2 linked regions of the Bombyx mori genome follow. The protein of the gene in region 2 purifies or fractionates together with the protein of the main gene of each other region. This does not show direct contact. Links are inferred from orthologs where the notes say so. Each region holds a gene or a part of one and is shown on either strand. Other genes may lie near its edges.

Region 1 (4,449 bases), on a different chromosome or scaffold from region 2:
TAATTTTTTTTTTTAATGCTCGATGGGTAGACGAGCTCACAGCCCACCTGGTGTTAAGTAGTTACTGGAGCCCATAGACATCCACAACGTAAATGCGCCACCCACCTCGAGATATGATGTCTATGGTTTCAGTATAGTTACAACGGCTGCTCCACCCTTCAAACCGATTCGCATTACTGCTTTCACTGCAGAAATAGGCGGGGTAGTGGTCCCTACCCGTGCGGTCTCACAAAACGTCCTACCACCAGTATTAATCAATTTATGCTTAATCAAATTATGGTAATTGTAAGATATCATATACTTTATAGAAATTTATGCTATTCAAAGAAAGCCAGCCAATACTATTCAGTCTGTTAAATGATGTGCAAAATTACAGATTATGAAAAAGCTCACAAACATTATTTTTAAATTTATCTCAGATTGTATTTTTCAGCTATCACAAAAAAAAAACTGGGTATAAAATTGGTTTAATCTATTTTATAATTATATCTAAATATATATCTAATTTATAATAATAATTCATTTATTATTTTAATATGTTATTCGGTCGGTTTATAATTAACTGAATGGATAATCTATGTCTCATAACTTCTGATAGCTTTAGATGTACCTGGAGTAAAAGAGAATGAGGTAGGTATAGGTTTTTTTATCGCCTTTGTAGCCAGACAAGCATACAGCCCACATGTTGGTGAGTGGTTACTGTTGCTCATGGACTTACTGTATACAATGACCATAAGAAAAACTTTACCTTTGTTAATTAATAATAGGAACATGTTGATTAAATTAATAAAATGGAACAGTCTTTAAACTGCTCATTTTGTCATTTTAACACTGGCTTCATGATATAGAAATATGAAAATTCAATTATACCAGAATCAGACAAAAGTTAGAAGATAGGAAGATATTATTGCTTAAAATTACAAACTTGAAAATTTAATATTAAATGTAAGCCTACTTGATGTTGTTCTAATTGTTCTTTTCTTTCTTGTGAGAGTTCTCCTCTGGTGTGCAGAGTCCTCTGATTTGCTGCATGCAGAGCTTGAAGTTGAGCTCTTTCCGCCAGCAGATGTTTGGTTAGTGAAAGAAAGTAATCTTTCAAGAGAGTTCTAACTGCTGTTTGTTTCTCTGCCGGTAAAAATGTATTTCGAGGAACAGGAATATTATGTTTCTGGAAAATAAATGTTTTGCTCTTTATTTATTACAAACTAAGCCATTCCATCCTAAATGTTACTTAATACTACACATATGCATATAAACGAGGGATTCCCAAACTTAGTTTTATCTACTGCCCACTTTGAGAATAAATTATTTTTTAATGCCCCATTTTTTCACCTACTTAAAAACCACTATCACTTCAAATTCAATTAATTATTGCGAGCTATATTAGTTGTTATTCATTCTAAACGAGACTTTTACCTCAAGAGTTAACTTGATACCTGAGCACAGTAGGTAGTACACAACACCTGCCAATGAAAATGATAATTGACGCACAACTTTATAATGTTCTGACAGATTTCTTATAAAAAAATAAAAATAAAAATCGATTCTAAAATAAGAACTAAGGTGAAGGATGAATCTAATGCTGTTTAATAAGTTTGTTGATATCAGGTTCCCATTTATTCAAAAACAGTCAATCAAACAGTCAGTCAAAATCAAGTCCTCGCCTTCGGTAACATACAAACGATTTCTCTTTTTAGTAAGCAGTGTTGCCACAGCATTAATTTCACGTTCACACAAATATAACGATGGGAATGCTATCAAGAATCGTTGAACATTGACCACACATTGTCAATTCTATAAGTTCTTCTTCTATAACTGTTATGTGTGAAACCACAAATAAAAATAAAATAAGTATTACGTTGTTTATATAGGACTACTTAAGCAACACACCAATTATATTTAAATATAAATTATCAACATATTCATTTTTTCTTTTCTTAATTTGATAAATTAATTTTTTATTTACTTTTATTTAGTACTCACCTACATTAAGAAACAATAATTAGCTGTATTTACTAATAAATAAAAGAATAGCTGATAAGAAATCAACTTACCTCAGAAGCTTCTCGTATTTTTCTAGGCATAAGTCCAGCATAATCATCACCACAGTGTTTGCAAAATGATAACAAAATTGGTATATTGTTATGCTCTTCTTTGTCCATGTTTATTAGAACAGTTAATACATTACCCAGCAAAGGCAATCCAGTTTTATTCATAAAAATACCGACAGCCACTAATTCTGCATAAAATCTTATATCCACCCGCAGTTTTGATGAATTTGTTATTTTATCAGTCGCTTTGAATGTTAAAATCTTTTGCCAGTTTTCAAAAAAGTTAGATGAAAAATCAGCGTAAGTACGATGAAGAACTGAACATAGAGTTATAGCAGCAGGAATATCAGACATTTTCAATTTTGCTTCTGCTATTGCAGCAGCCACTTCTGATATATATTTTGTAAGATTTAATGTTGCAAAATCTTTCAAAAGTACATCCAGCTGAGAAGCACTAAATGATTTTAGTTTTTTTACAAATGTGGTATTCTTTTTCAAACCTGAATCTAGCTTGGAAAAATAATTTTCTGGTGGTCGAGAGCAATTCAAATTTTGATTACGTATTTCATATTTTTGTTTCAATCTGGCTTCCAAGTTAGCTGTATACTCTTCGAGAGCCGCTTTCTCATTTTCTTCTAAATCTTTAAGCGGTTCTTCAATAGGTGTTTCGTTTGCCTCATCGTTGTTGGTGGCAGTCATTTTATCTTTTAGATAGGTATTATTTGAAGCCAATGGACACCACTATATGGTGTGAGCAACTTTCTTTTGCATTTATTAACTCAGCAAATCACATTTAATTCATTTAAAAATTTACAAACATTTGGGTAAGGTGTCATAAATATTATGTGTATTATCTTTTTTTTAAAGGGATTTTATGACCTGGTAACTAAGACCTTTAAGTCATGTCTTATTTTAATTTATATTCATATTTTTATGAAAAATGATATTATGCAGTGAAATGAAATGAAGATTATTAATCTGAGACATTAATCAACTGGGATGAAATCATAGAGTTACTATTCTAACTGGAGTGCTTACTTCGTTTGACATAAAAACTAAAAATATACTTTATCTCTATGGCTTAAAGTTTATTTTTAAATAGCAAAAGATGTAAGGAAAAACGGTCTGAAAAGAGAATGATTATTAAGTGGTGGTGTCCCTCTCGCACATTTTACAAACAAAAAGCAGTGTTGCTAGCTTAGAGGATTTTCCATAAAATCTCGGAATTTGGACCCCCGTCTTAGTTATCAAAAATGGCTTTTAGTGGTTAGTGGATTTTTTAGTAGCTTGGGCGTTGTTGAAAATTATTGAAAAGGTTAAAATCAATCCACTTTACAGGATTTTAAACATTTTATGACAATAATATATCTAAATACATATTATTTAAACGATGTGACTTAAACTTAACTAGAAAATATTGCGACAATTTAGAATTTCCATCAACGTCAAAAATTAAATTGGTTCAACATAAACGTACAAAGTTATGGTGAATTTATTTTCTGATGATGACAATTTATTAAAATAAATTATATAAGAAGTATTGATTATATGATATATATTGATTTTTAATAGAACATCATATATTAATAAAGCTCATTAACAAAAAAAATATTGTTCTATATTAATAAGAACTCTGTTTAATGGAAAATTTTATGGTAGGTACGTAGATTTCTGATGGTTTTCATGTTGAATTTGGTGGGAAGCCAGATTAATTGTTGGCATCACCGAAAAAGAGCTATGAATGGATTAAAAGAAAAATGGCGTCTATTTACGTTTGTAGTGCGAAGTTAAAATGGCACTGATACAGCTTGTGGCTTGTTTTTTTTTCGAAAATCGTGAAAGTTTCCGTGTAATCATGGTGAACACTTTTAATATAAGTGGTTTTAAGCGAGAATCCTCTCCAGTTTGTGGAATATCCTTCCATATGTCAGATTCATTGATAAAATTTTTACTAGTGTGAGCATATATTTTTAAAATGTGAGATATATTTTCTCATTATAATATTTAATACCATTTGTCTTGTAAATTGTACTTAATCTATGTCATATACTAAATTTGAAAAAACAATCGTGAAAACTATAATTTTGCAATGTATTTTTCATATTATAAGAGCCATCACGTGGTATTTCTTGAACTTTTTTTATTGTATTGAATAGCGTCGCACGCAAGCATGTATATCATTTGCCTGACGTTAAGCGAACGAGGAGGATCTTCTAGTAAATATGACTTTGGAATTTCTGGAAAATGTCCTTTAAAAAGGTCAAACAAGAAGAATCAAGTACTCAAACGCAAGAAAAAAAAAATACCCCGAGAAAAGCAAAATTACGACAAGATGTTAAGGTATTGAAACAAAAACTTAAAAGTCGTGAAATAGTGATTGTAAATATAAAGTCGATTT
Region 2 (4,324 bases):
CCACATCGTTTTCTAATAAATTACAGTCACTCATGATTTTACTACTAATTTCATTTCAATGTATGCTAATAGACTGAAACTCTGAAAGTTAGTTTGACATTGATTATTATTTATTTGATTACTCTATTCTTTTTTATTTTCAGATGATAAAAAATTCACAAGCTTAAAGAGTATATTAAAATTTTAAAAATCGCATTTATTTCAACTAAAGAATTAAAAAGAAAGATCAAAAGTTAGAAGTTCTTTTCATATTTGAAATAATTTAATCATATTTTATGATTTTCGAATATCATTGAAAATTGCATTGTACTTAAAAGAAGTGAAAGTGATAAATATATATAATAATTAAGTAACAAATAGCGGAGGAACTGGGGATACCTATCAGCGACGCACTCCACCGGGCTGCAGGGCGGGATCGATGGAGACAGTTGGTTGACGAAATCGGACGGAGTCACGATCCTCAGCAGTGAGGAACCGATCGAAGAGAGAGAGAGAGAGAACAGTTTCATATTATTCGAGGAAATTTGTATGATGATTAATAAATGTATACATATAACATAATTTTTTTGGCAATCCTTCCCTTTTTTTGGTGGTTTTTTAATCATATTTATGAAAAAAAAAATTGACATTTTTTTTGAAGTAGATATCTATTTGTGCTATTTTTTTATTTTTTCCTACTTATTCTGATAGCCTTGAGAGGCTATTAAATTTCAGCTTCGCCATAACTTTATAAACTTGACAGTATAAAGGCGGACTTAATGCCATTTAAAATACAGTTCTATACAATACACTTCTATTATGTATATTATCTATTTTTGACGTTGATGTACGATTGTTGTGGGACTTTTTGACGGGAACGCGAGGAATGAAGTTTTGTGATCTGTTTTGTTTTGTCTATTTAGTGCTTCTTCGAGTTTAAAGGCGTAATAACGGTGGTTTATTATCTGTTTAGTAACTGTGTAAGTGCACAAATGTGTGAAAATGAAACAAAGCCGCCGAACGTAATTTCTCGGGATCTTCCAAAAAGTGCACTGAAAAAGTCTCACTAAATGTCCACCATTTTCCTGAGATTATATTTCATCCCATATCATCTCATCTCCTTTCATTTCATTTCGTTTTAATTTCCATTCAATTTAATTTCCTGCCATATTTCATATAAAAAAAGTTTTCATTAAAATTAAAATAAGTCTTGACCTAAAAGTCTTAGTTACCAGGTCATAAAGTCCTTTAAAAATGTGATTGTCGTATACATGTCTTATCTATGAATAATCTCTCAAATATAATAAGTGTATAATCTATGGAATAATCTATGGTGGTCGTGTTTGATGCGGAGTTTTCAAGATTAATTTGTGTAACTTTTTGATTTTTTAAACTCATATGGTCTCTAGATAAATACATCTTTATTAATTACATTTTATTTAAATTATTTACTACTTCTCATAACGTAAATCTACTATAAAACATGGCTGACGTGCTAGATATCGAAAATTCAGAAGAATTTGAAGTCGACGAAGATGGTGAACGTAAGTGGAACAATTGATATTATTAAAAATATTTTAATCAAATTTTGTTTCCTATTCATTATCTGTAAAGTCTGCTCGTAGCTTAAACAAGCAATTATGTGTGGACATAAAACGGGAAATGTTGTCTCAATTAAGGTTATAATTTCCGACTGAATTTTTTTTACATTTGTAATGTTATTATCGCCGGTCGACGTTAAACTTTCACCACTGGGTTTAATTTAAATGCACACATACAAAATGATGCACACCAGACTTGTTAAGACATATAAATCTAACATATAGATTGCTTGTTCCCCATTTTTTCATATTTCGTGCTTTAGGACATTACATTGGTGATTCTTACGTGTTTTATAATTATTCTTGCACTAAATTAAGCTTAAAGTAAACTAAAAATTGTAATGTTGTTGATTTCCAAAAATAACACATAATATACTGGTGGTAGGAGCTCTTGTGAGTCCGCGCGGGTGGGTACCACCACCCTGCCTATTTCTGCCGTAGCAGCCGGGCAGCCGTTGTATACTTGAGACCTTAGAACTTATATCTCAAGGTGGATGGCGCATTTACATTGTGGATGTCTATGGGCTCCAGTAACCACTAAACAACAGGTGGGCTGTGAGATCATGCACCCAACAATAAAAAAAAAATTTAGTGTAAAATTACAGTATTTAAAAATGTTACAGAGGGAATCGCTAGACTTAAGGAGAAGGCACGTAAGCGAAAAGGTCGTGGTTTTGGCAACGAAGCCGGTGGAGGCAGTGCTGCAGAACGGGGTAACCGCGGAAGGTAATACACAGATTTTGTCATTTTCCATTGTACTGAATAATAATATTTCTTGCTAATCAACAGAAGCTCTGTTTCCACTCTGGAAAAACCCACAACCGAACCAGGCTTAACATGTCCAACAGTGGCCAAAACTTTGTATTGTTTTGTTGCAGATACGACAGTTTAGCTCCGGAAGGCGATAGCGGTACACCAGGACCTCAGAGATCAGTTGAAGGCTGGATCCTGTTTGTCAGTAATGTACATGAAGAAGCACAAGAAGAAGATATACAGGCAATTAAAACTTCTTTTATTTATATTTAGAAGATAAAATTTCCACTTTGTATCTACTTGTAGCTACTGTTTGAGACACACCTTAATTTGAAATGGTTATAATTACAAAAAAACAATGTGAAAGATTAAAAGGTATATTCCTATTTAATTAATGTGAAATGTGAAATAGGTTAAGTCAAAGAAAAGATATTTTGTCATGTCAATGTATTTGTTGGTAAATAGACACGCATCAATAGGGACATTGACATATTCATAAAAATGTGAATGTAGCCACTTTGAAACATTAGTGTAAATCTGTGGAATAGTATTGATCAATAATAATATAATAATTTAATAGGACTATAGGTTTTTTTTATTGCCTTTCTAGGCAACATGCGAGCAGTAGACGAGCATATGGCCCACCTGATGGTAAGTGGTCAGCGTCGCTTATCGACGTCAGCAATGCGCCAGGGACAGAGCCAAGCCGCTGCCTACATTACTACATTGCCAATAAGATTAAATTATTATATGACCAATAGAATAAGTATGTAATACAAATCCTTTTTTTTTAATAAAAATATGTCAAGTTTTTCATAGAATATATGCAGACCACTATTACAAATTTTATTGAAGTTCTTTAGGCGCGTTGTGAAAAATTGATGAGAGTGAAATTTTACGATGCACGCGCACCGTGACACAAATTTAACAGAAATGAAGTTGCCCACTAAATCGCTCATTAAAATACGACCGCCGTAACTTGGAGAGTCTGAATATAGCCGCAGGTGAACTTTCGCGCATGTTCACTCGTAAAAAAAAGTGTGATTAGCATTTATTTTTTACTAATATAAATGACAAAATTATTTTTTAATATAATTCATACTAAATATTATTAAATTATTAACATTAAATATATTTATTTAACATCTAAAAAAAAATAAAAATTAATAAAAATAAAGTATAACTTCTTACGCGCGTACATAAGTACACGCACCCTTTTTTTATAAGGATCGGTGATTCGATCAGTGGAAACAATATTAGTTTGTTTTGTTGACAGAATCAATTTTCCGAGTTTGGTGAGATAAAGAATATTCATCTGAATCTGGACCGACGCACAGGCTTCCTCAAAGGCTACGCTCTAGTTGAGTACGAGACTTATAAACAAGCCGCTGTAAGTACTTAGTGCTACTGATTAATATAAGACTTACTGTGCTTTGGTATCCACTTTATACATACTGAATGATGACCGGTTTTTTTTGATAACGCCATCTTGTTGTGTCTTTAAAGCGGTTAGTTGCCCTCAATTAAGAAAAATAGTATTATTATTCGCCAATAGATGTCAGGAAGAGTTAATTTTTGAAAACACGAATAAAACAACATTTTCTCAAAATAAATCGTAGCTAGATCGATTTATCGTCCCCGAAATCCCCTGTATACTAAGTTATATGAAAATCGTTGGAGCCGTTTCCGAGATTCAAATTATATACATATATATTAATATACAAGAATTGCTCGTTTAAAGATATCCACTGTATACATCTTAAACTTCGTATGTATCTTTTTTAATTGCTTTGTTTGGATGAAAGAATTCACGGCCCGCTTGATTATAATGGTTACTGTAGTCCATAGACACCAACAATGAAAATACGCCATCTAACAGGTAACATGAGTTGAAACATGACTTCAAGTCGAACCATATTACTGCTTCACAGCAGACCTAGACGGGGCGATAGTACCTACCCATGCGAACTCACAACAAGCCCTATTACTAG

The links.
Region 1: the proteins of Y14 (region 2) and regulator of nonsense transcripts 2 purify together in Homo sapiens (co-immunoprecipitation; 6 studies listed by BioGRID and IntAct, with this or other methods). This does not show direct contact. The link is inferred for Bombyx mori from reciprocal best matches to the Homo sapiens genes RBM8A and UPF2.

Annotation. Positions count from the first base shown.
Region 1 is NC_085110.1:14,020,832-14,025,280, forward strand, and holds the start of regulator of nonsense transcripts 2, read right to left. Parts: upstream 2,924-4,449; 5' UTR 2,751-2,923; coding exon 2,055-2,750; intron 1,169-2,054; coding exon 956-1,168; intron 1-955. UniProt on the Homo sapiens protein: Involved in nonsense-mediated decay (NMD) of mRNAs containing premature stop codons by associating with the nuclear exon junction complex (EJC).
Region 2 is NC_085108.1:4,111,701-4,116,024, reverse strand, and holds the start of Y14 (RNA binding motif protein Y14), read left to right. Parts: upstream 1-1,324; 5' UTR 1,325-1,462; coding exon 1,463-1,523; intron 1,524-2,203; coding exon 2,204-2,306; intron 2,307-2,458; coding exon 2,459-2,576; intron 2,577-3,609; coding exon 3,610-3,723; intron 3,724-4,324. Other genes in the region: uncharacterized protein LOC101745843, read right to left, coding at 1-34.